Linked DNA regions of Struthio camelus. The protein of the gene in region 4 interacts with the protein of the main gene of each other region in a biochemical or structural test. Links are inferred from orthologs where the notes say so. Each region holds a gene or a part of one and is shown on either strand. Other genes may lie near its edges. The genes, in order: RPS6KA1; solute carrier family 2, facilitated glucose transporter member 3; DGKZ; alpha-1-syntrophin-like.

The links.
Region 1: the proteins of alpha-1-syntrophin-like (region 4) and RPS6KA1 interact in a test that uses a peptide from one of them, tested with the Homo sapiens proteins (2 studies listed by BioGRID and IntAct, with this or other methods). The link is inferred for Struthio camelus from reciprocal best matches to the Homo sapiens genes SNTA1 and RPS6KA1.
Region 2: the proteins of alpha-1-syntrophin-like (region 4) and solute carrier family 2, facilitated glucose transporter member 3 interact in a test that uses a peptide from one of them, tested with the Homo sapiens proteins (2 studies listed by BioGRID and IntAct). The link is inferred for Struthio camelus from reciprocal best matches to the Homo sapiens genes SNTA1 and SLC2A3.
Region 3: the proteins of alpha-1-syntrophin-like (region 4) and DGKZ form a complex in vitro, tested with the Homo sapiens proteins (2 studies listed by BioGRID and IntAct, with this or other methods). The link is inferred for Struthio camelus from reciprocal best matches to the Homo sapiens genes SNTA1 and DGKZ.

What each region holds. Positions count from the first base shown.
Region 1 is NC_090964.1:7,012,184-7,019,506, reverse strand, and holds the start of RPS6KA1 (ribosomal protein S6 kinase alpha-1), read left to right. Parts: upstream 1-4,312; 5' UTR 4,313-4,406; coding exon 4,407-4,469; intron 4,470-7,323. UniProt on the Homo sapiens protein: Serine/threonine-protein kinase that acts downstream of ERK (MAPK1/ERK2 and MAPK3/ERK1) signaling and mediates mitogenic and stress-induced activation of the transcription factors CREB1, ETV1/ER81 and NR4A1/NUR77, regulates translation through RPS6 and EIF4B phosphorylation, and mediates cellular proliferation, survival, and differentiation by modulating mTOR signaling and repressing pro-apoptotic function of BAD and DAPK1.
Region 2 is NC_090942.1:88,614,992-88,622,830, forward strand, and holds the start of solute carrier family 2, facilitated glucose transporter member 3, read left to right. Parts: upstream 1-4,834; 5' UTR 4,835-5,169; coding exon 5,170-5,184; intron 5,185-7,839. UniProt on the Homo sapiens protein: Facilitative glucose transporter. Can also mediate the uptake of various other monosaccharides across the cell membrane. Mediates the uptake of glucose, 2-deoxyglucose, galactose, mannose, xylose and fucose, and probably also dehydroascorbate.
Region 3 is NC_090946.1:40,031,706-40,039,445, forward strand, and holds the start of DGKZ (diacylglycerol kinase zeta), read right to left. Parts: upstream 3,008-7,740; 5' UTR 2,884-3,007; coding exon 2,063-2,883; intron 1,073-2,062; coding exon 964-1,072; intron 214-963; coding exon 118-213; intron 1-117. UniProt on the Homo sapiens protein: Diacylglycerol kinase that converts diacylglycerol/DAG into phosphatidic acid/phosphatidate/PA and regulates the respective levels of these two bioactive lipids.
Region 4 is NC_090959.1:4,021,949-4,029,604, reverse strand, and holds the start of alpha-1-syntrophin-like, read right to left. Parts: upstream 3,011-7,656; 5' UTR 2,979-3,010; coding exon 2,705-2,978; intron 1-2,704. UniProt on the Homo sapiens protein: Adapter protein that binds to and probably organizes the subcellular localization of a variety of membrane proteins. May link various receptors to the actin cytoskeleton and the extracellular matrix via the dystrophin glycoprotein complex.

The DNA.
Region 1 (7,323 bases), on a different chromosome or scaffold from region 4:
GCATCTGAAGCAGCTGCAATCGCGCACAGCGGTAAGGAATGGAAAGAAGTCACAAAAGGAAAAAGCAATCAGCCATTAAACACAGCCAAAGTTTCTCATTTACAGGGCCTCTGCTTTATATCTTAAATGTGACGTTTGCCCTGCGCTAAGGAAAAATGTCTCCCTGGGATCAAAACAAGGTGATCTATCATTCCTTCCTTCACGGTGAAAAAACAAAGCAGAAGATGCAAGGAAATGAGATCTTACATTGAGAGCTGGGGATTAGAAGACAGGACGTGGAGTTCAAGTTCTAGCCTGATGACCTAGTGAAAACGTGACTCGGTTTCTCTGTTAGTGGAATGGGAACAACAATGAACTAAGGAACTGATTAGTGGATCTTAAAAATACAAAGAAGGTTGCTATAAGCTCTAATTAAATGACTGTTGTAGTGTGTGCACAAAGCAGACTACACCAGTCTGTCTTTGTAAACTGTAGCAGGCATTTGGGACTCAGCTTGTGAATTCTCATGCGTGCAATCTTTTTGCATTTCCTTATATGTGTAAAAGCAGTGTAGCATGCAGTTAAAGGAAGATGCTCCCTGGCTTCAGTAAAAAGAAAAGAATGGATACAGTGAGCCATGGGAACACTGTGTTATATATGGTTAGGTGGAGAATCGCTTAGGCAGCTTTTAACGTAACGAGGAAACCTCTGCCTCTTCAAAACCTGATTGGATTTGGTAATGTGGATAAGGATGAGTCTCAATACTTCCGCTTTGGAAGTGGCTCTTTGGGGATAACTGGCTTAGTGAGTGCTGTCAACCTTCCTGAAGAGGAAAATGTTACACACCACAAGCCAGGCAACTGCAGAGGCAAAAATATCTACAATTGTATTTGAGGGGGATTTGATTTTTTTTTAAAATGAAAAAAAAAAAAACTTGCAGCATTTTGAATTTTCAGCAAATGTAATAATGGTGAAAGGGCCATCCAGCCGATCTGGAGATCTCCATTTACCTGTAGCAGCAGCGGTCTAAATGGAAACGTAGGAATCCTACTACGAACCTTAATCCAGCCTGCGGCCCTGTCAGAAGAACGGCAGTGTGTGTGTGTGTAAATATATATATATATATATATATATATATATATATATATATATATATATATAAATCACTGTTTTTAGCCATAACAGTTACCCAAACAACAGGCTTTGGCGTTCAACTCAAAAAAACATTTTTTTCTACCCAGCTTGTGGCAAAGGGGCTGCTTTGTATAGCTGTTCTTTGACTAGGAAATAAACGCTGGGGGGACACCACTGTCTCGTTCCACTTACCTAAACTTACTGCTCTGGGCTTACCACCGGTCTGGAGCGGGAAGTCTCATATTCTGTTAATCAACTGTGAGTCAGTGTTGTCTAGTGCAGGAATCAAAGGAAGGATGGTCAGCCTGGTGATAGATAGCACTAGATAGCACTGCTTCTCTTTGAGTCCTGCCCAGCATTGCTGCTGAATCGCTACGGTGTTAGCTAGTCTTGGGGGCTGGAGGTGGGGGGTGAGGGTGCTAGTTCAGTCTTGAGGATACTGTGGAGCTACCTTAGCAAAACCTTTTCCTAGCCTTTAATAAAAGTAGCTTCATAAATGGAGAGCATAGACACGCACAAGTCATTGTTAGTCTCCCTAGTATCTTTAATTTGCTGTTTTATTATGAAAACCAGGCAGGATAATTTGATACTTTTGTTTGGGTGCATGGCACCTGTGGGTGTAGAGCTCTCTGTTCGTTCCAGCCTAAAGAAATCATTGCTCCATAAAGTTCTATAATTTCTGTCTTTTGTCAAACGCACGGTGAGCTGGCCTGTCTTTCTGCTGTGAAATATGAAGGACTTTCTGCATCTCAATAGACCTACCAGGGGGGCGGAAGCAGCAGTGGATTCCTTTCTCCTTTCCCTCACTGAATCCAATAGGCCTTTTTCTGTGTTTCAGACCGTTCCTCCAGATATTGTCTGTCAACCTTTCACCGTGACCTTGAAAATTAAGCCTTGCTAACCAGTAGAAACTGGTTACTGTACCACTCTGTAACTAGCCAGGTAACTGCCAGTTTTCAACACTTCAAAAGGAATTTCTTTCCTTTTTTAACTTTTTTCCACTGTTTACAATAACAGTCATGGCCTTGAGGTCGGAGATTTCTCAGGAGTTAATGACCACCTTGGCTTAGGTTACCCCCTCAGCTGCTCCAGATCACTGTTTGGCACCTGATCTTACCTGACTCCTGTGCACAGCTCTTATTTGAAGCTGAGAGGTGCTCTGCATGGGTCAGCTGATGGGAAATGGCCTTTGTGCCTGTCATTTGTTATGATTTAAATATTCTGCTTTGTTTTTTCCATTCAGGTGGGAATGTCCAAGTGTGCTGGGATGTGATGTTCACAGGTCACCTTCAAGGGGCTTAGCACTGAAGCATGGCAGGGCACGTTAGCGTTTCATTTTGTTCTCCTTCTATAAAGCATGCAGAGTGTCATCCTTTGCTCATTTGTCTGTGCATTCCTATTCCAGACCCGTCTGACACACACACGCAGAGCAGAAGGAAATCCAAAAAGGGCGATGAATTTTGCAAACAAATGAAGAAGGTAAACGGGATGCCAGTATTGACATCATCACGTTACTGGTGCCATTTAAAGCAGGTTTCAGTCTGCACCAGCTGGAGGATGGATGTAACCAGACGGCGGCACGCCGTGCACCAGGCAAGAGGGGAAATGGACAGCTTTGGAGCTAAATGAATAACTCTGCACAAGATCTGCTTCAGCTTGCTCCCACAGTAAGTGACGTGAGTTTAATTGGCTGTAACAGGACCTTGCTAGTACCGTTCTGGTTGTGTTATTTAATGCCTTCATGTGGGAGTCCAAAACTTATGGCAGAGAGGGGCTCTGAGTGTACGGTTGGGAGAGAGCAGTTCCCAGACTTGGCTCAAACAGTTATACTGTGACCCATGGGAATTTTTTTTACTCAATTCCCCCCAACATGTGAAAAAGATGGCAGCACTAACATAACTCACAAGCAGGTTCTGAGGATGACTTACAAATTAACTTCAAGTGTTGTGAAGATCAGCTGGAACGTTTAGACGTACTTTGTTTTTCTCTGCCCTAATTCAGCTTTTTCTGAGTTCACTGCCCAGCCTGAAGAAGTTGCAGGTTTAAGGGCTGTACTGGCTTTTGGGGGTAGGTGCCCTACAGAATGCAAAACCAAAGCTGAGCGCGGTTTCACTTGGACTCATTAAGTGATACTTCCAGCTATGCCTTGATGAAGTCAATGCTTAGCGATGCACCCTTGAAAAAATAATTTCTGTTAGAAATAATTTTATAATGAACATGAAAACGCTGTGCTTTGGCTTTTGGCTTAAAAAAATGAGTAGAAGAGTACACTTCTCCATTTGAGAAGCCTAGCAAGTAAGAATAGCAATGAATTGTGAGCACGTGTGTTTAAGGCACCTTTCCTCCGCAGGCTTCTAAACATCTCAGAAAGGTGGATATGGTTTTTTTTAATCCATGTTTTGTTGGGAACGGGAAAAAGAGAGGGGGGGTGCGCTGCAAACAGTGATGAGCCGTGACTCACTGTGCATCACAAACTTAGAATCCGGATTTCCCGGGGTGGTTTCCTGCTTTAGGCAGCAGCCTGAATCGTCTGTCACAGAGTTTATCCTCACAACCCTCTTCTTCGGGGATGTTTTGTAGTACTGTGTGTACAGCAGAGCAGCAGACAACTCCTCCAGCTCTGGAGGAAAAAAATCTTTCCCAGGCACAAAAGAGAGTTGGGCACCCAGTGACTGACCCAGAGCTGGCTGCTCAGCTGCTTCTTGGTGCTGCTGAGGATTTCCTCAGCAGAGAGGAGCACCGAGTGACTGCCCCGCTCACCTTATGCGGAGCGAGCAGCAGCTTACCAGCAGTTTTAAGATCCGTTTGGCTAACGGGCGCATCCAAATTTTGTCAGGGCGCAAAGCGCACAGAGCCTGCAGCCGTTCACGAGAGCTAACGGGGAAGGTTTTTTCCCCTGACCGGCCTCGCCGCTCCCAAAGGTGGGCTCGGCCCTGGGGTGAATTCGCCACCGGCCGGCACGCACACCCGCTCGCTCGCTCGCTGCCGGAGGGGAGCAGCTCGCTTTGCCCGTGGCCACCTCGGCCTCCTCGCTCCCGAGGGGGGCCCTTTCCCCTGGCCGAGCCCGGCCGGGGGGCAGCGGAGGGGCCGCGCCGAGCCGAGCCGCGCTGCGGGCGGAGCCGCGCCGCCCCCCGCGGCCGCCCCGCTCCGCTCCGCCCCGGCCCGCTCCGCCCCGCCGCTGCCGGCCCGGCCCGGGCAGCCCGGGGAGCCGGTGCCCAGCGCGGGGCGCCGCGCTGCGCTGCGCCGAGCCCAGCCCGACCCGGCCCGGCGCCGCGGGGCAGCCCGCCGCCAGCATGCCGCTCGCCCAGCTGGCCGAGCCCTGGCCCAACATGGAGCTGGTGCATCTGGACACGGAGGTGAGCGGGGCACCGGCCCTCGCCGCGGGCGGCGCAGCCGAGCGGAGCGGGGGGGGACGACCCGGGCCGCCCCGCCGGGCTCCGCGGTGAACAAAGGAGCGCCCGGGCCGGTGCTGCCGGGGCCCCCCCCGGCCCCGCTCGGGAGCCGCGGGCGACCCCCCCCCCCTCCCCAACGCCCCATATCCCGGGGGGCGGGAAGCGGTGCGGGCCGGGCTCGGGCAGGCACGGTGATGGGCTGCGGAACGGGGGGGGGGGGCGGCGCGGCGCTCGGCAGCCCGCCGCTGCCCGTTCAGACGTGCTCCCAGACGTAGAGGGGCACGGGCCCTGCCCGGGGCCCGAGGAATAGATGCTTCATGTGCCGAGTCTTCCTCTTCAGGGCTCCCTCGCTGCTGTTCTTCCTAGACCAGCTGTCCTGAGAGGCCTGCCTGTGTTTCAAACTCCCAGGCACCCTGTCATGCTCCCCTGTTACTTTGGTGGATGCTTTGCTTTTTCCTTTCTAATTACGGCCTCGAACCCAGATGCACAGGACACATCAGCTGTCTGCCTCTGCAGGGTTGTGCCACGACCGTTTCGGAATAAAGGCACAGCTTTTAGGAGTTTTCACCCATTGCAAAGCAGCCAGCTGAGGCAGTGTGCTCCGGCAACCTTTAGTTAAGCATCTTCTAATCCAAATTAGAACTAGCCTCTTTCCTGAACAAATGATATGGCCGTTGTGGGTTTTGTCCCAACCCCTGTATTTGGACCCTCGCAGTCTCCCATCCTCTTGGCTGTATTCAGTGCTCTCGGTTTTGCTCCTTTACCTCATCTCATGCCTAGAGATGTTGTGATGGTTGAGTGGTTAGATTTGCTCATTCCTATTTAAAACTGCCTCTTAAAACATCTTTGCCTTCAGCGGAGGCAACGTTTCACTCCTGCTGCAATGATAACAGATAGAGGTCTGCTAACAAAAATGGGTGAGGTTGCCTAATTTTCATCAACCAGATGTGGCAAGACTTCTCCTAGAGACTTCCCCATGCCAGAGGCGCTGCATGTGCTGGGGGTTCACATCATCTGGCCTGAAGGTGCGGACGCACCCGGCAGCGGGCTCGGCGCGTCTGCTCGGAAGCAGTGCTGGAGTCATGAGGATGTGTTTGTGCTCGAAAGTGGGAGAGGAGGGAGGTTGCTCAGCCTGCAACGACTGGATCGTGATTCCTGGAAACCATGTCGTGCCTTCGGAGCTTGTCTAGGGTACCGGAGTAGGTTAGAGCTAGAACACAGGGCTCTTTAAGTTGGTGGTTTCTCTCTTCCTAAATAGGAAGATATCTTGAAAAGCTAAATAACAAAACTAAACTCATAACGGGAGAAAACTAATGCTAGTGCCCAGGGCAATAAATGCCATTGGCAAGATCGGTTTACTGCTTAATCCTACGTCTTTCAGGTGCCAGTCAGCTGGCTGTGTCAAAATCACGAGATCTCTTCTGACCGGAAACAGCTCGGGGGGAGCTCCCGTATATTTGTCAGCTGGAGTCAGCTGTGAAGATCATAGTTAGCAAGAACTATTTTCCCCACTGGAGTAGTAACCGATGTGTTAATTGTAAACTGAAACTTCGGGGCCTGACTCTCACTTCTCGGCTATCCCCTTCCCCCATCTCACCTTGCCTAGAGCTCTAGGTCAGCTCCACGGTCGGGAGCGGTTTGCATGTGATATTTCTGAAAATCACTTTCCTGAAACCTCAGGAGGGCTGCATCTCCACCTGGAGTGGGACGTTAGCAATTTATCCTCCCCTGGTTTGAGGAGAGCAAACACATGCTCTTGCTTCCAGTGAGAGAAACAGGATGGATGTTCTTCACCTCTAAACCTGGCTGCCGTCGCCTGTGCCAGACGTTAGCATGTTCCTTTAGCTGTAGCAGCGTATCTGCAGGCTGCAGAGAGGGACGTAGGCTCGGTGGGATTTCTGCACCTTGCGAGGTAAAAATGGCTGAGGGTAGAGGCCTGGGGAGAAGATTTTAACCTCTTCTGGGCAAGGTGGAGACTCTTCTGGAATGTCAGTTACGTAAATTGCCCTTGGATCTCTGCCATCATGGTTTTCAACCGGCTTCCTTGTACCTTTGCTTTCTGAGTCACAGAGCAGAGGTGCTGTCACTGTGCTGGTGAAGGCACCGGGCCTGTTGTCTGCAGGTTTGGGGTTTTTCCACTGCACTTCAGGAGCGCTAGCAATCTGTTCCTGGGGTCTGGTCCCAGCTGGCGCCTGTTGTCCCGGCCTGCCGGCGCTCAGCGTGGAGCTGCTCCGTGGAAAATGCGTGGGGGTGGGTGGCAGCGGGAGCTAGGACTAATCTGTTGCAGGAGAAAAGTGGATCCACCTCTGTCCTGGGGACTGAGCTGGTTTCATATTTTTTTCCCCTTATTCTCTCTCCTGCTTATATCATTCAGAATATTGCTTATGTAGTTGAAAAATCTGGCTGGGGCAGAGTACAAGCGATAGAGTGGAGTTGAATGACTTCATCACCATAGCGATGGAAACTGTCATCTAGGCTGTGCTTTTCTTTAAGCTCTTGTCTTGTAACACATACAGCAACATAACTGACGTGGGATTACCACAAACCTAATCACTTCGAGCTAATTATTTTTGCCGGTATATATGTATTCTCTTTTATTGAGCAGCAGCCATTCACGAGTAACTATCTTTTCCAAGCATCTTAGCTGAACGATGCATAAAACAATGATCAGAAGATACAGCAGGAAGCTATGTGAGTTTAGTCTCTGATATGCCTTGTGCGCAGCGCAGCTGACTCCTCAGTCCGTTTGGGCTATGGCAGTTCTGCTGGCAATCTTTATTTTTGCAGAATTATTTCCTTTCTCTAAATTGCACTAGGC
Region 2 (7,839 bases), on a different chromosome or scaffold from region 4:
CAAGCCCCTTTCTGCCCCATTTCTGATGACTGACTGACAAGAGCTGGCACTGCAGAGCTGGAATGGCTGTTTAAGATAACTCTTCTCAGACCTGGTTTTAAACTTGTCTCCTGTGCCTGGGGAATCCTCAGTGGTGACACTGCAGCCCAGGAGCAGTGTGCTGTATTTTGGAGCACCCTTCACATCACCTCCTTTTTCATCCTGCCTGTAATAATACATGGGCTGCTCCCTGAGCTCTTTGCTGCTGAGCAGCAAGGGTGAGGTGGGAGAGGTGTATGTGGGGGGAGAGGGAAGCACTGCCTTGGGATAAGTCAGAGCATCTCCTGCTAGGAGAGGAATGATAAACCCCTGTGTGCCAGCTGGCTTAGCCGTTATTAGCCTACAGAGTCAGACTCCAATCCTACCCTCTGTGAATATTGCCAGTTCAACAGCAGCTAACTTTAGACTACAGCAGTGAGGGGAATGGGGCTGGGGAGAAGAGGTGGGTTGGCCAGGGTCTTGTTTTTTCTTGTGACTCTTGCTACTGTAATCACATTTGATCTTACTGAGACATTTTTCACAGTCTCTGCTCTCTCCTCCCTAGCCTGTAACCCTTCAGGCAATTGCTGAAGAAAGTAATGTGATTATTCAGGCTAGGTACCTGGGAGCAGAACAGAACATAGCTAGATGAGCAATCTCTGCAGAAATGGTATTTGTAAGTCTGCAGCTCTGCTTGTGCCCAGTTGTGCCTCTCAGCTCCTTTGTCAATATATGCGTGTCTAACGTGTATTTGCTGGGGAGTGTGTATGTGTAATGGGTGTATTTGATTCTGCACAGTGTGTGTGTATATACTGGCAGTGTGTGTAGCTTTCTGTTATTAATACTTGGGCGTGAGAAGTACACCTAAAAGGGAACATAAGATAAGGCACCTCACTTTCCTGAAATGCCTCCATCCCATCCCATGGGGCGCAGAGCATTCCCAGCACAGCCTGGATCCATGTGCCAGCAGACAGCACGCCCCTGCAACCTATCACACTGGCGCTGGATTGACTGGGCTAAGCATAAAATGCTGTGAGCCAGTGTATGCTTTCTGATCAGTATCTGTATGCCTGCAGTGTTGCAGCTGGGTAAGCAGCCAGAGAACATTGTCTAGCTGAATTTGTCAAACTTCCTATTATCCTTTTGTCTGGCTAGCTTCGTGCCCCGCACATACTAATGGGGAATTCTTTTTATGTCTTCCATGAAAAAAAAATATTTACCTCTTCATAAGAAATCACTTTTTTCCTGAATATAGTGTTTTCTCAAGAAATATAAAGTAAGGCCTAATTTTGTGAAGATTTGTCAAAAACAACCCCACCCCTTATGCCTATGCTGATCAGCCCTCCAGAACAGGATGAAAAGCAGAATGGGGCTCTGCCGAACTGCAGCCACACTGATTCCCTCTATCTGATACCTTCTGGTCCTTCTTCACCTCTTCATGAACTGACCTCCCAACCCAGACACTGTCCTGAATTGTGTGTATTTTCCTATTGCTATGCTCCTAATCAGGGCTGTGCTAGAAAATTCTTTTTTTAATTCTGCTCCTCAGAACAATTTGCTCTCTACTTATGCTGACATTTTTAATCCAAATTCATTAGCTAGGATGTTTTCTTCCTTTGCCCTTCGATTACAGTTTCTTGCTCAGGGTGGAGAAAACCACAGTGAGAAGCAATGGAGAAAACCACAGAGAGAAACAATGACGGATATATAAAAAAGACATTTTGACCGAAAGCCTCTCACTCCTGCCTTGCAACCTCCTGCTAGCTGAGGCCTGAGCTTCTGACACAGCTCTGCCAGTGCCTCCCACCTCCACTGTCCCTGTAATGTTCCAGTCCTGAGGACTGGGCTTTGGAGCAGTTTCAGACTTAATTCACCTGTTTTCTGTACATTTCAGAGAAAAGGAGGCAGAGACTGAGAGATATTATAAGAGGCAATGACTGCTCATGAAATACAGCACTCTCCATAAGTCATGAACACACAGTTCAGTGTGGCTATTCTTAGATGTGAACCAATCTTAGAATAAGAAATGATGAACAGACATCATAGGAAAAAAACAAAGGCACAGATATATAACTTCTCTCTTTGCTAGAAAGCCTGATTGCTCTGGCAACATCAATCAGAAAAAACTAGGCTTGTAGCCTAGGTGGTGGGCAGAAGTCCTCTTCCAATTTAGAGCAAAAGAAGAGGACAAGGCCTGAAGTGGTATAGAAGTTGTCACGTCTCTCTCGTAGCACAGAGCTGGGTTCAGGAAACAGCCTTCTCCGCATGTCATTTCTGTAGAAACGTTTTTTTTTTTTTTTTTTTTTTTGAAACGAAAGAGACTTACTTCTCATTTCCAAGACTGTCATATCAGTCTGGTAAAGCATTAAAATGCTTTGACCATAGTGATCTTACTAATTGACTAGGTTAATTAGGAAAGTTTTCAGAGACATTATCACCAACCTGCATTTCACTGTGGTAAAGGGCAGAGGTAAAAAAGACTTTAGTCTAATGACATGACCTGTCCAAGGCTGTGATTGTGCTCTCCTAGTTAGGCAATTCTGCAGTTTCTGTTCATCTTTTCTATCTATTCATCTGTTATCTCTTTTCCTCTCCTGGTTTGTTGCTGCTTTTTTCCTTCTGTTTTTTTCTTTTATTCCTTGTCCTTCTCTGTTTTAGTTCTTTCTTTCTTCTCCTCATTATACCTTTCCTTCCTTTTTGTCTTCTGCCTTTTGTCTCTCCTTGTTTCTCTTCTCACTTTTTTAACCTCCTGTTGTTTAAGAGTCAATCTCTCCACACCCACTCTCTTGTTTCTCTCTTATCTTTCATGCTTTTTCCCACTCTTTCTCGGCACATCTCAACAATGAAAGTTACTAATGGCTTGGGGGAGAAGCATCTGGCCCATGCTGGCTCTCATTCTCTCTCTTTTGTTCTGAATACTCTTTTGTTATAAACACAACAACACAAAAGCACAAAATCATCTCTAAATGCAAACACTGCATAATAATCCGCCTTGTCCATGCCCCTCTTATCTCTGAAGAATTTGTTCTTCAGGCAAAATAGAAAGAAACATGAGAGAGGATTCACTAATATTCGTGGGAATTAGTATGCAGAAGGAAGAGATCTGGTGAGTAACTTGGAGGGGAAAGAGAGATTGGAAAGAGCTTCATTCTACAGGGCAGCACCACTGAACTGAAAATTGGGCAGACCTGACAGAACAGCTGTGTGATAGAATATAGCTTGCAAGGAGCTTGGACACCAGCATGATGACACTGTGGTTGATAATAGATAATAGATCTGTCTCTGTTCCCATTAAGCTATGGAGGCATGGACAGGATCAAAAATGATTTTGAATACATAATTTCTGTGTCTTTCCCACATTTCTCAGGGAGATTTGGTTTCTAGTGATGTACTTTGAGCTCGTGTCTCCTTCTTACTGCTATTTATTTCGCCAACTCTCTAAAGGTAAAGAAATCTCATCTACTATGTTTTGTGTCATGTGTCAGGTATTTAATTTTCAGCTACACTCTTACTGCTTCTAAAGTTGGACGTGAAGCTAAATATACGTTTAATCTAATCTTGAAGTTTGGATTTCCCAGCACCAGCTGAGTCATGTGGGTCAAGAAAAAAACTAGGAATGAGGAGATCTCAGAGGGATGTTTCTTGCAGTCCAGAGGTTGCCTCTGAGATTTGGAGATGCTTAGAAACTCACCAAATATGGAAGCTGTTTACTTTAACCAGTAATTGAATATTTCCAGAGCTAATACCAGGGTGAGAGATGGCTCACCAGATTCAAGGTGAAAGTTTGCTGTGCTTGCACATAAGTGGAAGAAAGGCTAGGAAAATAAAAAATAAATGTGAAAAAATAGTCAAGTGAAGAAGAATGCGCAGACTTCCTTGTCCTTTTAATGAGCTGATTTTCTGTTTGGAATAGCATGCATATTTTAACTGCAACACATAAAAGACACATTAAGGGAGTGAGGAAAACCTCACCGCGTTTGAACTGTAAATTTCCTGTTATGTATCTGATCTGTGATCCGGTGACCACCGTGCCAAAGAAGTAACAGAAGTGGAATTAAAATGGGATCATTCCAGTTCCTCAGAATTTGATAAAGAAAAGTGACGGAAAATCCCAAAATAATTTCTCTAGAAATAAGAAGATGGCATATGAGCTAACTTTCTCCCCTGCTTCCTTTCCTTCCCCGCTGCCTGCAGCTCTGAGTTACTACCATTTTCTGAAATGAAAATATTTGGAAGGTTCTGAATTTTTTTTTTTTACAGTGTTTTTGTCTGGAATTGAAAGCATAGATCTCCATTACTCTCTTAGGAGAGTTTGGCAATTCTTCCAGTTAAGGGATGGGCTGCAAGGGAATATGAAGGAGCGTAGCATAGTTCAGCTGAAGGAGTTCAAATTTGGGACCAAATGCAGCTCTGTGTCACGTCTCAAGCTTTGCCCCCACAAATTCTAGCTTTGTCGGAAAAGCTGTTCAAAAGACAGCTATCCAGATGTATGTCTCATCCACAGCTTTGGGAGATGGGTAGAGCATCCATAAAGTATGGCAATGATTTCCGTGCTTCTGCCCATGTGATTTGTGTGCCTGTCTTTTTGACTGTCACTGTCTGCCTCACTGTTTTAACTAGGGATTTAAAACAACTTTATTTCATACAAATCACTAGTGTTCTATCATTAGTTAATATTTGCATAGCATCAACAGCGTGGCAAATACTGCTCTCTACGCTTGTAACTTTTTCCAAAATGCTGGAGTTAAATAACACAGCTGCTAGCTCCCTACTCAGTGACTTTTTCTAGTTTTCTAGTCATGAAACATAAGAAACCAGACACATGCTGCTGAAATACTGCCACCTGCAAAAACCAATCCAAACTAATGTAAAATTTAAGTCAGAAAAGCGTATTAGGTTAAAGGATTTTTTTTTTTTCTTCGTTGCTGGGAGCTCCTCCCTCCAAGTCTCCTCTCACGCCCACACCCAAAAAAGAAACCATAAATACATGAGCTTAAGCAGAAAGAAGGTGCTTTTGTACAGAGAGAGACTCAGCTGTTTTGTTTTGTGGGAGGCGAGGACGCAGCATCTCAGAAGGTTCACGGACTCTGTTAAGAGGTGGGAATAGGGCAGTGGGCCTCAAGAGTCATTTTAAGGCGTTTGTCGCAGGCGATGGATAATAAAAAGGTAACCACTACCGATCTCTTTCTGCTTGCCATTAGGGCGTTTAGCTGTCTTGTTGCTTCACTGATTATTCACTGTGAGGTTGTGTCTGTTTGTCTAGCATCTGTCTGCTACCGTTCCTTTCCGCAGATACTTATGTGTATGGCTGGAAAGGATTTGCCAGGCTTGCGGAAACAATCTAGTAACATTCATGAAGCAAGGATCACCTTATGAATTGTGTGGTTGCGATTCAGCATCATTTCGTTCTCCGATACTGTTGAATTTCTGTTTGTCTTTGTAAAGATGGAAGTTCTGATGATGCAGACGGGCCTCAGCTGCTATCTTTTTAAGAATGACTTAGATAAGTGCTGTCTGTGGGAGATGGGGAGTAGGGATGGAGAGCCTGTTTGGTTAGGGTTGTTGCAAGCCATGAGATTGATTTGTTTTCATGTATATGGCCTAATTAGCCACATGATGCTATAAATATTTCCATATTTTCTTTATACTGATAATAAGATATATTTTGCTGGCTAGACAGTACTCATTTGTGCCAGGATTAAAGACAGAGGCTTCATAATGCTGAAAAGGAAATTTCTCCTAAAGTTTACATATATATATATGAGACTTATTGGAAAACAATGTTTCAATTTCGAGAAGAAAAGCAAAGCATATTCTTTCCCCCTTGTTCCTTGAGAGAACATGGGACAGACAGCCTTGTGGGTATCGTAGTTCATCTGCAGCCTAGAGCGAAGTGTGCACTCGCGGAGTGGAACTCAGTGGAGCTAATGAACTGCCTGTGTTTGAATGCATCGGGGCAGAAAAGCAGGCAGGCTGAAGGAGGGAGACAGACAGCAAATATCCAGCTGAACCCGGTGCCCAGTGCTGAATGCCAGGGAATTACTGTTAAAACGGAAAAAACAACAGCAGCAGGGAAGCTCTGGGCCCTCACTGCCATATTGATGGGAAATGTGGACGGGGTGATAAGATGAGTCAGAACAAGTGAGAGAGCATCTGGTCAAGGGCATTTAAAGGAGGGCAGAGAGGGAGCTATAGCTGAATTCAGCAAGTTATACTGTTCTGAGATTCTAGTCAGTAAAAAAGAAGGGAGCTAGTTTGAAGTATCTCTCCTGGATAATAAATATAGCTGCTAGATCCTTATGGATGCCTGTGGTCAGAGGAAAGGGTGGTGGTTTGAATTTCCTGCCAATATATAGACCTCAACTTTGAACTTTTGGATAGGGTGGATGCTGCTTTACTATTTCTGAGCTCCCTGGACACCTTTTGGAAAATGAGGTATGGCCAACAGTAACAAATGATCCATACATTAGATCATGGCCTGTCTCACGGAAGTGGATGGGTCAGGTCATGTGATGTCTAGGCAGTATGAGACTGGGTATGTGATACAGATGAATAACAGGCAACAGTCTGGAAAAGGGATCATGAAAGAGGGTAAAAGAACTAGCCTCCTTATAGTTTGGTTGTGCCTTATAGTTTGTATGTGCCTTTTGGTCCCATATAACACCCAGAGGAAAAGGAGGCCAGCTGTGACCACTGCAAGCCATGACAAAGCAGAGTTCTGAGGGGAAGATGCTCCTGTGTTGAGGCACTGTGTTGGAAGTGTGGAGAGCAGAGTTTTGTCCTCTACTTTGCTACACCCACTGACTAGGGGTGACTTGACCTAGACCTCTAAAAGTACCTAGATGTCTTAATGCCCTTTTGTGGGCTTCCAAATGCTTTGAAAGAGCTGGATCCTTGTGTTTCTGTGCCAAAATTCCTTGTAGCTAATACGAGGGGAGCAGTCACCCCCCTCCGCACAGAGTGGCAGAGAAGAAGGCCTAGACCACCTGGGATGTATTCAGGTGTTAACCGTACCATGGAAATCATCTGCCCCATGCAGGAATCTAGGACCTTGTCACTTCTGCCTCCTTTGCTAACCTAGAAGGACAGCCTGACACTTCTACTACATGACGTAGCAGGGGAAAGTTGCATCTGAGATAATCTTTTGGTTTCTGCTTACTGGGGTCTAATTGCTAAATGTGTGACGGTTGCGCAGGTCAGAAGGGCCCATGCACCATGCTTGAAAGATTGGTGAAGGTGGTGTGAGCAATGGCAAAGAGTTACTGGCAAAAAGGCACCAAACTTTGGGCAGCCTTTGGACCCTATTCTCCTGGAGACAAGCAGAAAAGCGGTAGACTAGAGGAACTTCAGCAGCAGGCCCCATGAAGTACTTTTCTCTTCTCTGCCAGCATTAAGAGAGTAAATGGGAAGCCTTGAAAAATGGACTTCTAATGTTTTGGAAAAGCTTCCAGTCCTTCCTATGAGAGAAACATGATCTTTCTAAAAATTGCCAACCCAAACACTGGCCATCCAAGTGCCAACTGCTGAGTCGCCTGCTTCCCCTGCCTTCCTAACACAGAGTTGGCTTAAATTCCACAGACTTTAAAAATACAGAAAATGTCAGATGCTTTTCACTGACACTTAAATTTCTTAGGTTGGACCTTAAAGCTTCCTCTGTGTCTCTTTTATTTCTTTTTTATTTTAATAAATACAAAGATTCACACACACTCAATTCCAGGTGCTGGGACTTTATCAAGTAATATCAAGTATTGCCACAGTGGCAAGAAAAATAAATGGGGAAAGTTGGCAGCACAGTCTTCTGTTTGAGGCAGGGTTCCTGTG
Region 3 (7,740 bases), on a different chromosome or scaffold from region 4:
CTATGCTTTCCCCAGCACCAGGCAGTAGCAGTGCTTTTGCAGTCTCTCCGCCAGGTGGCAGCACAGCCCGCATCCGTGGATCCTGCCAGGGGACTCGCGTGACCCCAGGTGACTTACCAGCAGCTTTGCCATACAGTTTTGCTCCCCAACATAGCAGAAATCCCCAGAGGCATTGGTCTCAAACCAGATGTGCTCCCCATAGACTGCAGTCTCCTGAAAGGCACAAGACAATGCTGTGTTTCTCTGAGAGCACCCATAAGTGATCATCTGATCTCCTAAAATGCTTTGTGCTAGGGACAAGACAACTTGATGTGGGGGTTGGGGGGGCTAGATGTAGGCAGGGAGACAAGATGCACAGAATCACCAGGGCAAACACCTGCAGAGAGGAAACCTTACAAAGCTGCTGCCACAGCCCACCCTGTTGGAAATGAGAGGCCCCCAGGAAACCAACTCTCCTCTCTCTCAGATCCTATGGAAAAACCTACAGCCTAGCTGTGTCCCATTCAGTGGGGCTGCCTCTATTCCCCCTGAGAAGAGGCACCTCGGCAAATTCAATGCTGGGGTCTCTCCTGAAACAGCCTCTGTTCCTTGACTTCAGGCAGGTTTTGACCTGCACCCTTCCTTTGCCTTTGCAGGAGGAGGGTTGGGGCGGAGGCTGGCACCCATATGCCAAGGAGAGCCCTGTGTCCCAGGGACTCCATTTGCCAGAAGACTTCCACTGCCAAGAGCAGAAGAACTGGAAGTTAAGTAGCTGTGCAACCTCCCAGGGAACTGCCTGTGCCCGCATAGCCTCTCTTCGCAGCATCAAGGGGTGCTGCCAGCAGCACAGATGCTGGCACCAGCGGAGGCCACAAATGTGTCAAAGCCAAAGTCACCTGGGAAGCCCTGGCCTGGGAAGAGCCTGCTGCTTCTTGTCTCAAAGCCCATCCTACCTCATGCCCAGCAAAATGCAAAGCAACTTACGCTCCAGTCCACAGTGCTGCGTATCTGCCTCTCTGAATCGCTCCTCAGGGCTAGCGCAGGGTTTGGCTGGGCTACCATGTGCTGGAGGCTGGATTTGGCAATAGCTTTTCTGGAAGACACGAGGGCTGCCTATTAGATCAGGAGAGGAGGAATGTGCGCAAAGAACAGCCTGCCTCTGGGATAGACAGTGATACTGGAGAAGAAAACCATCCTCAGAACCAAGCAGCTGGAAGTGCAGCGAATCCCCCAGGACCACTGCCTGAGGAACATCACCTCTCCGGCAAGTCAGTCCCTGTAGGGTGCAGAGGTGCTGGCCACATTGCTGACACTCACCAAAAGACATCCTACATCCGGCAAAAGACAGGCTAGACCTGCTGGGTCAAAACTCTCAGGGATGACAGGCCCACTGCATGACAGCCCAGGATACCCCACCAGCAGTCTCCACCAGGCTGTAGAGGTGGGGCTGCCTGTGCAAGGGCAGCCTTGAGCCCCTGCCCCAGTGCAGCTCCCCATAGCTTCCCACATATAAAGGCACCTCAGAGCCTGAGGCATTTTCAGAGTCCGGCACAACCGGCTAAAGCAAAGTAGCTTGTTTGGGACTAGGGAGCTGGTGAGCTTCCTTCGGGTAGGTTAGGGTGGAGGAAAGGACCAACAGGTCTAGTCAACTGGAGAAATTAGACAATACCCACCTCTAGCCCTAAAAGAGCCTTGGCCTCTTTTTTCACACCTGGGCTGGGAGAAGGCAAGGAATACAGAGGTACTTTGTACCGGCTGGAAGGGGACGTGTGGCAAGCCCCAAGGGGCTGCGGTGAGAGCATCAGACAAACAGAAAACTACCTCAGCCCTCAGTGACCTAAGGAGGAGACTGGCTCCTTGCTCTCCTCTACAGACACAAACAGCACTGCAAAGACATTGACAGCGGTGAGGCCTGGCACAGCCTTCTCCGACCCTGGCCACGTGGCACAAAAGGCCTCAGACCCAAGCCAAGCCCCTGCCCCTTCCTTCCTTCCCCATCCCCGGCCTGGCAAGCCTGGAGCCCCACATCCACCTCCCCTCTCTCAGATACTGCCTCGCTAACGTCACACGCCGCCATACATACAGCAGCCTGGGGCTCCAGGAGTCGGGGGCGGCAGGGCAGACGGGCTCCGATCCCAGGCACTCGGAGGGGGCAGCGGGAGGGCGCCTGGCTCCGGCTGCAGCCATCCACCTCCTGGGCAGCAGCCGCGCTCGGCCCGGGGAGATCAGCGCCCCGGGCCCCACGGCGTCACTCGAACGCCGGTGCTGGCTGAGGCGGCGGTAGCGCCCTTGCAGGCCGTAGGCAGCCCTGCCGTACACGAACTCGGTGGGCAGGAGATGGGAGGATCTGCGACGCAGGCACCGGGGGCCCCTCAGCAGCGGCCTGGCGTGGAGGGGCCGCAGCACGGGGAGCATGGAGAGCCAGGTCTCCTCAGCCCACCACCTGCGCCTGCCTGGCTCCGCTCCCCTGGCGGCCACGCTCTCCTCCCTGCCACCACCGTCCTCCAGCGACTCGGATCCGGAGCTGTCGGCACAGGGCACCCCTTTCCCCTCCTCTCTCATTTGGATAAGGCTGGCCAGGAGCATGGAAGGGCCCATCAAGTGGGTATCGATGGATCGCACCTGACCCCCGCGCTTCTTCTGCACGGCGAAGCGGGGGCTGAGGCATGGCGGTGTGGTGCTGGAGCGGCGCCGGGAGCCGGGGCTGGCCTGCTGGGGCCGGCCCAGGCAGGAGAGGGCCGGCAGCGGCGCGCCGGACCTGCACCGGCGCTGGACCAGCGAGGCTGAGGGCAGGCCCACTTGGGAGCGGCGCCTGGCTTTACCTGTGGGCACTGCCACCGCGCTGGCTCGCCGCGACCCCGAGGGCCCCTTCCTCTGGAAGTGCCTCTTAAAAAAGGTTTCCATAGCACAGAGGGTGGCACCTGAAGGGTGGCTGTTAACATAGAAACCAGCAATTAAAGAGCCTCCTGGCTAGGCTGCAAAGACCAAAGCAGTGACGGGCCAGGGGACGGCCCCGAGCTCACAGGGTGCAGCAGAAGAGAGGGCAGGAGGAAGGTGAAACAGCAGGAAACCCAGTTGCCAGACCTACGTGGTTGCTGCCGAGCTCTGCCTCTCCCTGCCTCAGCCCTCTCTACACAGGCAGAAAAGGAGGATGGGGAGAGGCGTGAAGGCCTTGTCTGGTGGCTCAGGGGGTAGCAACGAGCAAACAACTGGATGCTGGGATGCCTCCACCTAGAGCGAGCAACAAGACTGGGACCGGCCTCTGGTATACAACACACATTATTCACTGCTTAACGGCACTGCAGGAGCAGCTGGGCCACAAGGCACCCTCTCCTCTTGAGTTCAGAGCCAAATAAAGCTCTCCCTCTTATTAAGGCAGTTTCTAGGTTTATTTTCACAGCTTAGTGGAGGGTGCTGTGATGGCAGGGCAGGCATCACGTGCTGTTCCTAGTTCCCTCTAGATCCCCTGCTCATCACTGCAGGATCAACGTAGTCCTAACTCCTCTTTTGCACTGCACAGCTTCCATTTCCAATCTCTCAGCAATCTGTCCAGTCCTCTTCAGATTTCCTAGTCCCCAGCACTGTAAGGCACAGAAAAAGCTCAGCATTCAAATGTAGCCTCCTGTCAGCACTAGGATGATAGCTGGTTCCTGCAGCTACTTCTCTGCAGAGGGCTTTGGGTGGGAAGAAAAAAAAAAAACAGTGAATTTAGGAGGCTGGAGGTGTTAAAGGGATAATTTCTTGACTTGGAGCAGCTAAGAAGAGACTCCCTTTAAAAGGAACAAAGCCTTTCCTACAATCTCATGTGCTGAGCTGGATGGAACAAGGGCACGTGGCACTCGATGCCTTCGGTGAGGACAGCCAGGCTTACCCTGGAGAAGGTGCTCAGAAATACCCACTGGACTACTCGGATGTCTGCAGAGGCTGAGCTCCCCTCTAGACGACCCTGTGGAGAAGAGCCTCTGTACTGCTTGAAAAGATCAGCCCTTGCTCACGACCCCCAGTCACACGCATTCATCCCCTGGTGCTGGCCCTCCTGTTTTTCCAGTGGTAACCGCTCTGTGTAAGCACCAACCGCACAGAATTTGATGCAAATGAAAACAAAGGACTTACGAATTTGCAATAAAAGCAAGGCCAGTAAAAGAGGGGCAGGCAGATTTGGTAGAGGCTGGCAGAGGGAGCTGGAGTGGAGGTGGCCTAGGAAAATCGTCCTGTCCGTCCTGCTCAGAACTCCCCTCTCTCGGTGGGAAGAGCTTTAACATGACTCTCGAGCTTTCATTGCCCAGCTCTCAAAGCCTAACTCGTTGCCAGGACATTACAGCTGTTCGTGAAAAGCGCTGGGCCACAGATGGAAGTTGCTACAACACTGGTTTAAGCACTCTCAGCTTAGCATGCAAAGGTTTAAAAGGAAGAGACCGAAGCTGACTAATTCCAGTGCTCCTCTGCTCTAAGCAAAGTGCTTCTCCTCTGACCCCCCAGCCACTGCTTGTCTTCAACCTCTAAACAGAGAGGGTTTATCTGAGGACAACTCAAGAAACACTGACACTCACAGCTTGGTAGAATCTTTCTGGCGCCTCAAATGCTACAGAGCCAGGGGCCTCCAAATTAGGGCAGCCTGCAGGCACACGCAAGCCACCGTTGTCACTCCCAGCAACTTCTCCGTGCTGTAAAAGGCTGCTCCTCTACCCATCGTGAGCGTACAGGCACGTCACTCACCACTGCACTAAGATTAGCTGCGCTCACTTCTGTCTTCCTTTCTTCTCATGCTTTCTTATGCGGTCACTTGCTGGTCAGCAGTACTAAAGACCTTCAGAACAGCCTGGCCTAAACCTCAACAGCCCTGAGGGCCATGGGAACAGGCAGATTTGTCAGACAGATGCTTCCCTTTTTGCTTGGGAGACGCATTAAGATAGCACACGGGTGCTATTTTCTGGACCATAAACAGGCAGTTTTGTTTAGTGCTTGTATGCAAGCAACCCACTGGGCTGTACCTCTGCTTCTTTTAGAGAAGACTATAAAGCCAAGTTTGCATTTTGGAGAGGACAAGACATGGTTCATTCCCCTCCAGCCTGGTAGGCAAGGAAGTTAGCTCTGTAGTTTCTGTAGTCTCACTGCTATTCCCTGTGCTACTGTTGTATTCAGCAATGCAGCCTAGGGAGGGGAGAAAGTACAGCAATACTCTACAGAGGAATCTGCAGCTCGGACAGCAGCACTGGGGGAGCTAAAGTCTTGCTGAATTGAAAGCAAAACCAGAGTGCCATCTCCTCAGAGGAATTTCTCAAGTTCCACCACAGTGAGCGATGCAGATACGTCAAGCGCTAACTGATCACTAGCACATTTAACCATCGTACCGCCGAGGCCTGCGCAGCTTCGCAGATGGCATAAGCAAGTTCCGCTGATCACTCTGCTTCTAGCCCATCCTTGACCCTGCAATATGCTAGTCTTGTCCTTTCTCCCCACAATTTATAGGATACCTCAGTAAACTGGATTATCAACAATAGTCTTAAAAATTGTCTGAACAAATGGAACGGGTTAACAAACAACAGAGGACACTGCCTGGGAGTGGCAAACCGCAACAAGCTCTCTTTGATCATGTTTACTTGCTAGGGTAGATGTACTGCCAGGCTACATCCCGAATGAGTTGAATTGGTGCCCTCTTCTGCCCCAGATATTCCACCAACATTCAGGCTGATGTGCTGCTGGCCAAGCTGCTGCTATGGGCAGAAAGATCTTTCAACACGGCTTCCTTCCTTTTTGCACCACGGTCTCGTGAGGAAATTTGCCTCAACAACCTTTGCTTGACATTTATATTTTGGTTACTAGTTGATTAGAGTTTTTTTTTTTTTTTTTTTTTTAATCTTCAAGGTTGTCAGAGAGTGGCGCACACTCTCTTGTTCCAGTCACCAGTGGTGAAGGGTATTATCGGGAAATCATTTGACAGCCCATAATGGCACCATGCAGCAACTCAGATGGGGAAGTTCTTCACCATCCTATCTCTTGCATCTTACTTGCAACCTGAGCTGCCAAATGCTATACCGTGGGTGTTAAGAGCTGCTGCTGGCAGAGCACGGCGCCTGAAGGCAACGAGGCACGGACTGCCTAGGGCTGATGTGCACTGGCAGAGCCGTGAGCAGGGGAACCGTGCACTGCGGGGAAAGGAGCCTGACCAGAGCTAACTCTTGAAAGCTTCTGGCCCAACACTTGCACGTTTCTGGAATCTGCAGATTTCTCTTAAAAGACTATTTTCAGCTGTGAAGATGGATGAGAAGCAGTGCTTGTTACTGTTCTGCAGACTGCATCGCTCAGTTGAGTTAGGTAAGGAGGCTGGATGGAGGCAGTCTAACATTAGCAGGGTGGGAAGGAAAGGAAAGGAAAGGAAATAATGCTGCACACACTAGCATATCAACTCTACTTACAGGCAGCTTTACATTATCATTACAATCTGCTTCTGTGAATGAGGAAGGAGTCGGCAGCTTTGGTGTGCAAGTGGAGCTTTTGGGAGTTTTTTTTTTCTAACCTGACCCCTCAGTGCTCCTCAGCCTCAACCTCCTGCCTGTGCTCCCAGCCTAGCATCAGTGAGCAGAGATACCGCTGAAGCAGGAACACACCCCTGACCATGGACAGTCAGTGGCGCTGCCCCTGAGAGCTGAGGAGGGGCTGCAGGAAGCTGTCTGGGTGCTCAGAGAAGGCTGCAAGCTGTTACTCTCAGGATAGAGCTAATCTCAGTGGAAGGATCTAAATGCCCTGGAAAGTCAAACAGGGATCTAAGAAAAAAACCTTGCCTCTCATAACTTCAGTAGATGCAGAGCTGGTAGATCAGCTGATAAGGGGACCCTGCTCTCCAGAGAGCCACCCAAATATCCAGCACACATCCCTTCCATGGCGGTGGTAGTTCCAAAACCAGAAAAGCTGATTCCAAGGCCAGAACATGAACTTTCGTCCCTCAGGCACAGGCTTTGCCCGTGGTAGGGAGAGCTTCTTGGTATGCAGCTCCTGTAATTCTGCTTTGCTCCAATAGCCTCAAGCAAACCCCGGTGTACTGTACTGAACAAGCCCTCTGTGACCTTCTTATCTGTGTACATGGATGCTGTGCCACATGTCTGTTCAGTCCTTCCCCTTCATTATTATCCCTTCACCCCCCCTCCAGTGAACTGGTCTCTTCCTGAGAGGACCCAGAAGCAACAGAGATCCCAGGCTGCCTTTCCAGCCCCATCACTTCCATTCAGATACCACAGGTTGCCGTCAGTTAGTGTTTCCACCACAAGCTTGCACTACCGCTCTCAGTGCTCTGATACTCAAGTCTTTCCATGTATGCTGCTGTCCCCATACCACCTCTGCTGGAATCCTGTCCCAGCTCTCCCTTCCGGCTCCCAGGCATCAGCTACTGAACCCTGCTCCCCAGTCAGCCCTCTCCAATACACAAGGAAGAGCAACTCACATGGATTAGGTTTGCCAGGAAAGGTGTCCCTTTCTCAGAAGCATCAGCCACTAGTCCCTGTCACAGATGGTGAAGAGAGCATCTGGGTCAAGACATGCTATAGCCCTTGGGGCTTTGGTTGAGGTGAGCTGAGCTGAGCTGAGCAATTATCAGCAAGTTCCCAAACTCTGTGCAGTTTGTTTCTACCTAAAATTTACATCTAAGTTGTAATCTGTCCTACATCAGGCAAATAAAACAGGGACAGAAGCTGCCTGAGGGGGCAACTTCACGAGAACAAGGGCAAAAAGGTCTGAGAATAACCTGTTACTGAGTACAGCTACTAC
Region 4 (7,656 bases):
AGCAAAAATCAATGGGACCCACACTTGGCGCCAGCGCATAGCTGAGGGCTGGGGATGCTGCCCAGGGCAAGGAGCAGAGCAGAGCACCCTGCCCTCTCTGGCAGCCCGCTCGCATGGGGCTGCCCCAGGCAGGCTCCCTGGGTTGCACAGGGCCAGGACACGGAGCAGGGCCATGCCCAGGTCTCAGCAAGCTCATGACACAACCAATGTGTGCAGCCAGGCCAGGGAGCCTGCCGCCGCCCCGGCGTCCTCGGCCTAACCGCAGTCCCTGTGGCCTCCTAGGTGCAGTATCAGCCCCTGAGCTCCAGCCACGTCCCTAGAGCAGCCCACTGCAAAAAGCCTCCACTCACAGCGCAAAGCACAGCTGCTGTTTGCACCAGAAACCAAGGGGAGGCATTTCTTCAGTATTATGCAGACGTTGTCTCTTTGGCATAACAGCCTACTGCCTCGCACCCTCACCCAGGAAGAGGGAAACGGGAGCCAGGCCTGCGTCAGCCAGAGCAGGCTGAGTCAGCACCAACACCAACCCTAGGGCTGCACGCCGCTCTGCACAGCACCGGCCCCATCCCACCCTCGGGCCACCACCGAGAGCGATATAAGGCTGTTGAGGCTGGAAGGAGAGAAGCAAGAGGCAATTCTGTGGCCTCAGCCCTGGGGCACTCAGGCATTTTGCAGTAAAGAGTCCTCAGACAACACAAACTGCCCTGAGGGCTGGGACCAGGACTCCTGGGGCCAGCCTATCTGAGCACTCCTGCTCTGCAGAGCTGTAACACCTAAGCTGTTTTCACACTCTGCTCAGTACGCGCTTCTGTGGTAAACTCTGAGGTTAAACTACAAGAAATTTATTACTTTTTAATGGGAAAGTGTCACCACCCCAGTTAAGAAGGACCAATGCCTTCCCTCTGCAACAGCGGTGGTCACCTTCAGAGCTCTGTGACCAGCTGTAATGGTTTATAGCTCCCACTTTGGATTACTGCCACTTGTTTTTCACATATTTTTTCACTGCAAAAATAAAGTTTTAACTGAACCAAGTAACATTTCTCCTTTCCTAGGAGAGTCACAGAGGTAGCGATAACTTCGCAGCCAAAGGATTATCACAAAGGGGATTTTACACTTCCCAAAAGGAAGCACTGGCAATCTCAGGCATCCCATGGTGGCAGGCACAGCAAGCAGCATGAGAGAAGCAAGCTGGTGTTTCGATCCAATCCCAGCAGACGGACATCCACATCGCAAAGTCTCCCTACATTGGGCACTTGTACAGCTGAAGCGGAAGCAGGAGGTTGAGGCTAAATTCTCTCTGGCCACCAGAGGCGAAGCCACGTCAGAAGGTAAGATTCATACCACCACTGCCTATGGACCACCATGCATGCAAACTGGCCTGCTGTTACATTAAATTACAAACTCTTACCCATGCACAGGGATGGACCTTTGCCCGTGGTTGACTATTTAATCCTTCTTTCACTGAATTTCTAACAAGCTCAGAGCTGCATGAAAAATAAACACAAAAAGAAATGCAATCCCTGCCCTATGAAGTTTTCAGCCTAAAGTTCAGGCAAATCACCAAGGAGCACAGAAACTTGGGAGGGGAGCACCAGAAAGGAAAACAAGAATTACAACAACAAGGCTTCCCTGCTGCTCAGCCCTCCGAGACCGGACATCTTCAAGCTTGAGAGTGTTGTTTTAATGCCCCAGCTCTTAAGAAGTACTCTGTGTCTGCAGATCCCCAAGGACCTTACAAAGGTTGCAATCATTTTCTTCATTCTGCCGACAGTTTAAAAGGGACATTTGTCAGCCCAACAGACATAGGGTCACTGAGGAAACCAAGACAAACATGCAGAGACCTCTGTTTGATGCAAAGAGGCAGCTTTTCTGTAACATGGGTACCCTATGCGTCCCATCTGCTTCTTCAGACATCTTCCCTACCAGGAAAGTGCCAGCGTGTGCAAAGTCGCAGTGGGAGAAGAAGCTCTGCCAGTCCTGGCTTACCAACAAAGGGCTGTGAGCACCACCCTCCAGTGTCCCAAGCACAGGAGAGCAGAGCCCTGCTCCTGGCTGGGGGCTCCTGAGAAGCTGGTCTGTCACCCGGCCTCCCTCCGGCACTCTGTGCACTGAGCTCTCCAGGAGCCGTCTGCCTTTAAAACCCAGCTCTTAGAGCATGCAGCAAACATCCTTCAGGCCCTTCGTACTCCAGCTGTCACACCTCCCACCTTGCCCTTGCTCATCTCCTTTTGGGGTAAGTTAAGAGACTGACTGAGGCGTGAGAACCCCAGTTCCTCCCCAGTGCAGAGAGATGAGCTCGGCTCCTGGATATAGTTTCCATTCAGTGGAAACGCGGAGTCGAGCTGCAGAATCCAGTCTTGAGAAGGGGACGGCAACAGGTCGCTTCCCTCGAAATCCCCGTCTCGCAGCCCTCGCTGAAAACGCTCCGCTCCCCCACGAGGTGCATCACCTCTGCTTCCGACTTGGAAGGTCAGACCCGCGGAGCAGCCGCGGCCCGGGGAGCACAGGCGTCCCAGGCTGCCAGGAAGCCGCGCGCCCGCGCCCGCAGCTGCCGCGGCCCCGCGCCGGGCGCCCCGCAGAGCCCGGGAGGGCGGCGCAGCCCCGCGGCGCTGCCGCGGCCCCGGGCTCCCGCGCCGCCGTCGGGGGCCGCAGCCAGGACCCGCCGCGCCGGGCGCTGCCCCGGCCCCCGGCCCCCGGCCCTCACCTTTGATGCTGATGCCGAGCCCCCCCACGTCCTGCTTGACGACGCGCACCGTGCGCCTGATGTTGGCCAGCGCCTCGGGCACGGCGGAGCTGGGCTCGCCGCCGTTGAGCTGCGCCGGCGGCGCCTCGCCGGGGCCGGGGCCGGGGCCGGGGCCGGCGGCGGGGCTCACGGTCAGCACGTCCTCGGCCAGGGTGAGCAGGACGCGCAGCCACTGCCCGCCGGGGCCGCGCAGCTCCAGCAGCCCGGTGCGCGGGGCGCGCCTGCCCGCCGCCATCTTCCGCGCATGCCGCGGACCGCCGCCGCTGCGCCGCCCCCGCCGGGCCGCACGGCTCCGCTCGGCGCGGCTCGGGGCACCGGGCACAGCGCCGCCCCGCCGGCCTGCCCCTGGGCCGCCCGCCCCGCCCTGCCCGCCCCGTCGGGCTCGGCTCGGCTCGGCGCAGCCCGGCCCCCCGGCCGCCTCCCCGGCACCGGGATCCGCCTCCTTCGGGCCACGGCGGCGCCCCGACCCGTCCCGTCGCGGAGGGTCAGTCCCGCGCTCCCGGTGCGCCCCTGGGGTGCTTCCCTGCCTGGCCCCGGACGTGCCCGGCGTCCCCCTTGTTGCACCCTGCCCCGAGGAGCCGCAGAGGGAGCCAGGCCCCCGCGCCGCCCTTGCCTGGCCCGGGATGTGCTGCGTGCCCCCATCCTGCTCTACGTCCCAGGAAACAAGGCAGGAGCCAGGCTCAGGGAGCTGCTGGCTCAGCCCTTCCTCGCCCGGGGAATCGCAGCCCCCAGTGACGGGTGCCCACGTGTGGCAGGATCCGGCCACCCGGCGAGGCCGAGGGTGCCTTGGAGGCTCCTGCTTCGTGCAGCAATTTGCACACCATGCGCAAGGTTTCTAAAACACTTTTGGCTTGTTCCCAGGTACCAAAAGACCTACTTTCAAGGAAGTTTGTATGCAAGGCGCAAAGCGCTCTTGAAAATCTGGCCCAAGCAGGGGTGGGCTCTCGGGGGCTGCTGAACCACCCGTTGGCTCTCTCGCTCTGTTGAACTTGAGCAGCAGATTTGGGACTGATGCTGGAAGCACTAGATGACACTTTTTGGCCTAGATAATGTGGCGTGTCAGACTAGATGATCACAACGCTGCTCTGCAGCCCTGAAGTCTGTGCATCCCTCAGCAGTGTGGTGGCGGAGCACAGCACGACTGCCGAGATGTCTCTGAGTAAAAGCTTGTGACACTCTGTTATCCTGAGTTATGTTTTGCCCGGCAGAAAAGTTTGCATGGGCAGATTCTTCTTCGTGTCATCAAAATTACAGTGCTGCGCAGGGCGGCGGGTAGGGGAAGGCGGCGGGCAGCAGATCAGAGCCGGGCGTGATTCTGGGGAGCAACATCCCCCAAAATGGGGCCTGCTCTTGAAGCCTTTCCCTGCATTGCTGCTCTGGGCCAGGGGAGCTGCCTGCATCCACCCTTGTGAGCGACGTGTTGCCCCATATCTCCTTTCTGTAACAAGAGCAACAAGGTGCTCTGGGGTTGGCACCTTCTGACAACCCCTACGCAGTGTCAAACAGGCAAGAGGTGGAGGCGAGAGGTGTTAGGACATCCAAAGAAGTCTCTGTTCCTTTTTCCTTGCTTGTCCTGGTCCTTGAAAATAGGAACGATACTTTGTTTCATTTTCTGTAACCTGGTGGCAGCAATTAGAAAACACCTATTGGTCCACGCCCCCCCCCCCCGCACTCCCTTCTCCTAATGCTTTGTGCAGCTCCAGATGTCTCCAAGCATTGGGGCTTCCTAGCTCCCTGAGCTCTCTTTGCTACAAAATACAGAGGCTTAAAATAATGTAATGGTCTTTTAAGGAGGTTGGAGAGGGTACAGAGGAAGTGGGTGTAGTGGGGGACTAAGGGGCGCTGCTCCTGGCCGCCAGCTGCGCGTGAGGCGGGAGAGGCTGCGGGCGCGTTGCTCAGCGCAGCCCTTGCCCTCTCGGTGCTGGGGCTGCGGCCCATCCTGTGGGTCAGCCACGAGCGTCGGGGAAAACCCGCTCCCTCCGCTCTGCTCCCCTCCTGTGCAGAAGTGGTGGAATTTCTCGAGGTTGCAGCAGAGGAAACCCTGAAGGTTATTTCCATAGAAAACAAACATTTCAAATATTCCAGTTTTCTTTCTCATAAAAGGTCCGGAGTTTGGCTTAAGTGACTTTTCGTTTTGCATAACAGCTCTGCTAGCTGTAAAGGTTCCCCTTTGCGTCAGGAGGTGCTTTTACGGGACCGTGTCACCCACCCAAAGGTATTTGCTTATGATCACGTCCTCTGTGTTGTACCGTTCGGCCACACAAGCCCCGCTCTGGCTGTCCATGTAGCACAATTTGTTTACAGCAGAGGGGAATTTTGTCCTTTTGTCCTCAAGGCTCTTTTTCCCTGTGCCATCAGTGCTCCAAGCACTCACTTTATTTGCCAGACAGTCAGCTGCAATCAGCAGTTTGTCTGATTTTTTTTTTTTTCCTTCCCAGCACTGCTCTTGTTATTTCCAGCATAGGTGATTGTTTAAGGCCATCGTTCCCATTTGAAGCGACGGAGGAAACTGTAAATACTGCTCTTAGTGTTGCATAATTGCAACATTGGGGTCGTTTTCTTTGCTTTCTCAGCTCTGTGTCTGCCTGGCAGCACGGATGCGACGCTTGAGCATGTCCTCCATGCAAGGAGACAATCTGGATCCTGTCAGTGCCACATGGAGGGAAAATCACTGTCCTTCTCCATCCCTGCTGCTAGGACGGATGAAGTCTGTGGCCAGGTGGGACTTCACCTACCACACAGCAACTGCCCCCCAACAGACACAGCCAGACTAACATGCAGGCACTTAGGCAGCCCCAGCCCCGTGCCACTCCTCTCCCAGCAGCAGTTTTGCCTGAATAAAAGGATCATTTACTTCCCCTTCAGTAATGACATTTTAATAAAGTCCTCTCAGTTACACAGGTTCCTGCCCTGCCCTCAGCTGCAGGAGCCTTGAGTTTGCAGAAACGTGTGCCATACCCTCCCCTATCAGGAAATCTTTCTCCAGCCTGAATGCAGAACAGCTTTGTCAGCACTGAGCACGTGCAGACGTCAGCGCCAGAGGAGAAGGACTCATGACACCCACAAATCGCCAGAGGAGAAGGACTCATGACACCCACAAATCGCCCACCGAGCGTCACGGTGGCTGCAGACAGGGGACCTGCTGGCCCAGCTGCACTCAGGGCTGGATCTTTCCTTCAGGAGACTCCTAAAGCCGTTGCTATTATGGTAGAAAGATGATCATACGGACACCTTCTGCTACACATGATCAGAGGACTCCCTCTCTCTTTTTTCAGCGATTTAGTATTCCTTTGGCAATTATATCAGGTACTTATTGATGGGACAGTGATCTAAGTATTTCAGATGCTGGTTTCTTCTAATGCAAATCAGGACCAAAAAGGGCCCTAAATGCATGTCCTGAGGGGCAGCTCAGAACTGGAGACCCAAAGGAGATAAAAACTGCCACTCCTAAAGCTGTTTGTAGATCCTACACGATTTGTGGCAGAAGCTTGGATCCGGAGCTCCCTTTGCTTTTGCTTTTTGCAAAAAAGGACTTGGGATTTTTTCATATGACCACAAGCAGTCAGTACTATATATAGCCTGGGTTCACCTGCCCTAGAAGTGGGCAGATGTGCAGACACGGTGCCGCAGGAGGAAAACGTGACAGATTGGTGAGCGCGAGGAGGAGGGTCCTCCCTTCCCTTCTGCCCAGCTATTGCTGCGTGGCCGGGCTTTCTGCAAGGATTCAACGTTTTTACACTGTGTCTCCCCGACCAGGGGCCCCCTGTTCTTCAAGGGGCCTGAGGAAATGATATGGGAGGACCCATCATGGGGGTCCTAACTCTGGAGGCCCAGCTTGGGCATTGGGTAGGTCAGCAGGCTATCAAGAGGGATCAGCAGGTAGATGGACACAGCGTTCGGGGTCTAGGCTTTGATCTCCGAAGACTCAAATCGTTTGGTGTCTCCTCAGCGTGGCTGGGGTCAGGTGAGTGGTGCTGCAGTACAGGGAAGACGGACATGCCGGGATGCTCTGCGGGGTGTTCACACTTTTGGGACTACCTTCCTGCACGCCCGCTCCCCCAGGCATGCTCTGAAGCCCATCCTTTCTCACGCAGGAGACTCCCACATTTTTAGGGACCCCCTTTGTGTCCCAGGCCTGTGGTGAGCTATGGGAGATGCACCCAGTGCCCTGAAGGGTCCCAGGCTGCACCTTTTTTTTGATATACTGTGAGGCATTGAGAGAATTAGCCGCAATGTCCTGCTGCAAGAAGGACCAACGGCCACGAGTTTGATTGACTAATGCCTTGGCTCTGGGCCAGGGGCCGGGGGGGCCAAATCTGGGCTGCCTGGCACACAGGAGTGAGTCGCATGCTTCCAGGCAGGTCAGCATCGGCTGCAGGCTGGATGCAAAGATGCTGCTCTGCTGGCACGGCTGCATGTGTGTTTCACCTTTCAGCCAGCACTCGTGACTGCGTGCCTGTATAGCACACTGGTTTCCAGCATTTCTGAACCGACTCTCCGGATTCCCATGTGGGACAGCTGGGCCACACCGAAAATCCACACGTCATACTGCCTACAATGATCTACTGACCCCTTCCCCTGGCCCACACATGCATGTGTGCGTGATCATGTTACCCTCCTGCAGTAACAAAGCCAAAGGCTCTGCTTGCTGGTAGCTAATGGGCTCCTTGGCCCTTTCGCAAGCCTGGTTTTGCTGAGCTGCATGTCCCTCCTGCTCAATTAAAGCCATATTTGGGGCTGCGGAGAAGCTCCTTCCAGCAGCAGCCTCTCAGAGTCCTGTTAAGACCTTCTGATACTACTTTCACAGCTGATTTCCATCCCCTGTTTGAGCCTGTCCTGGCATTTTCTCTGCATAATCTCTGGTCCCCTGAATTTCATCGTTAAGCAGCTATTATTAGACTCATTTCTTGGCA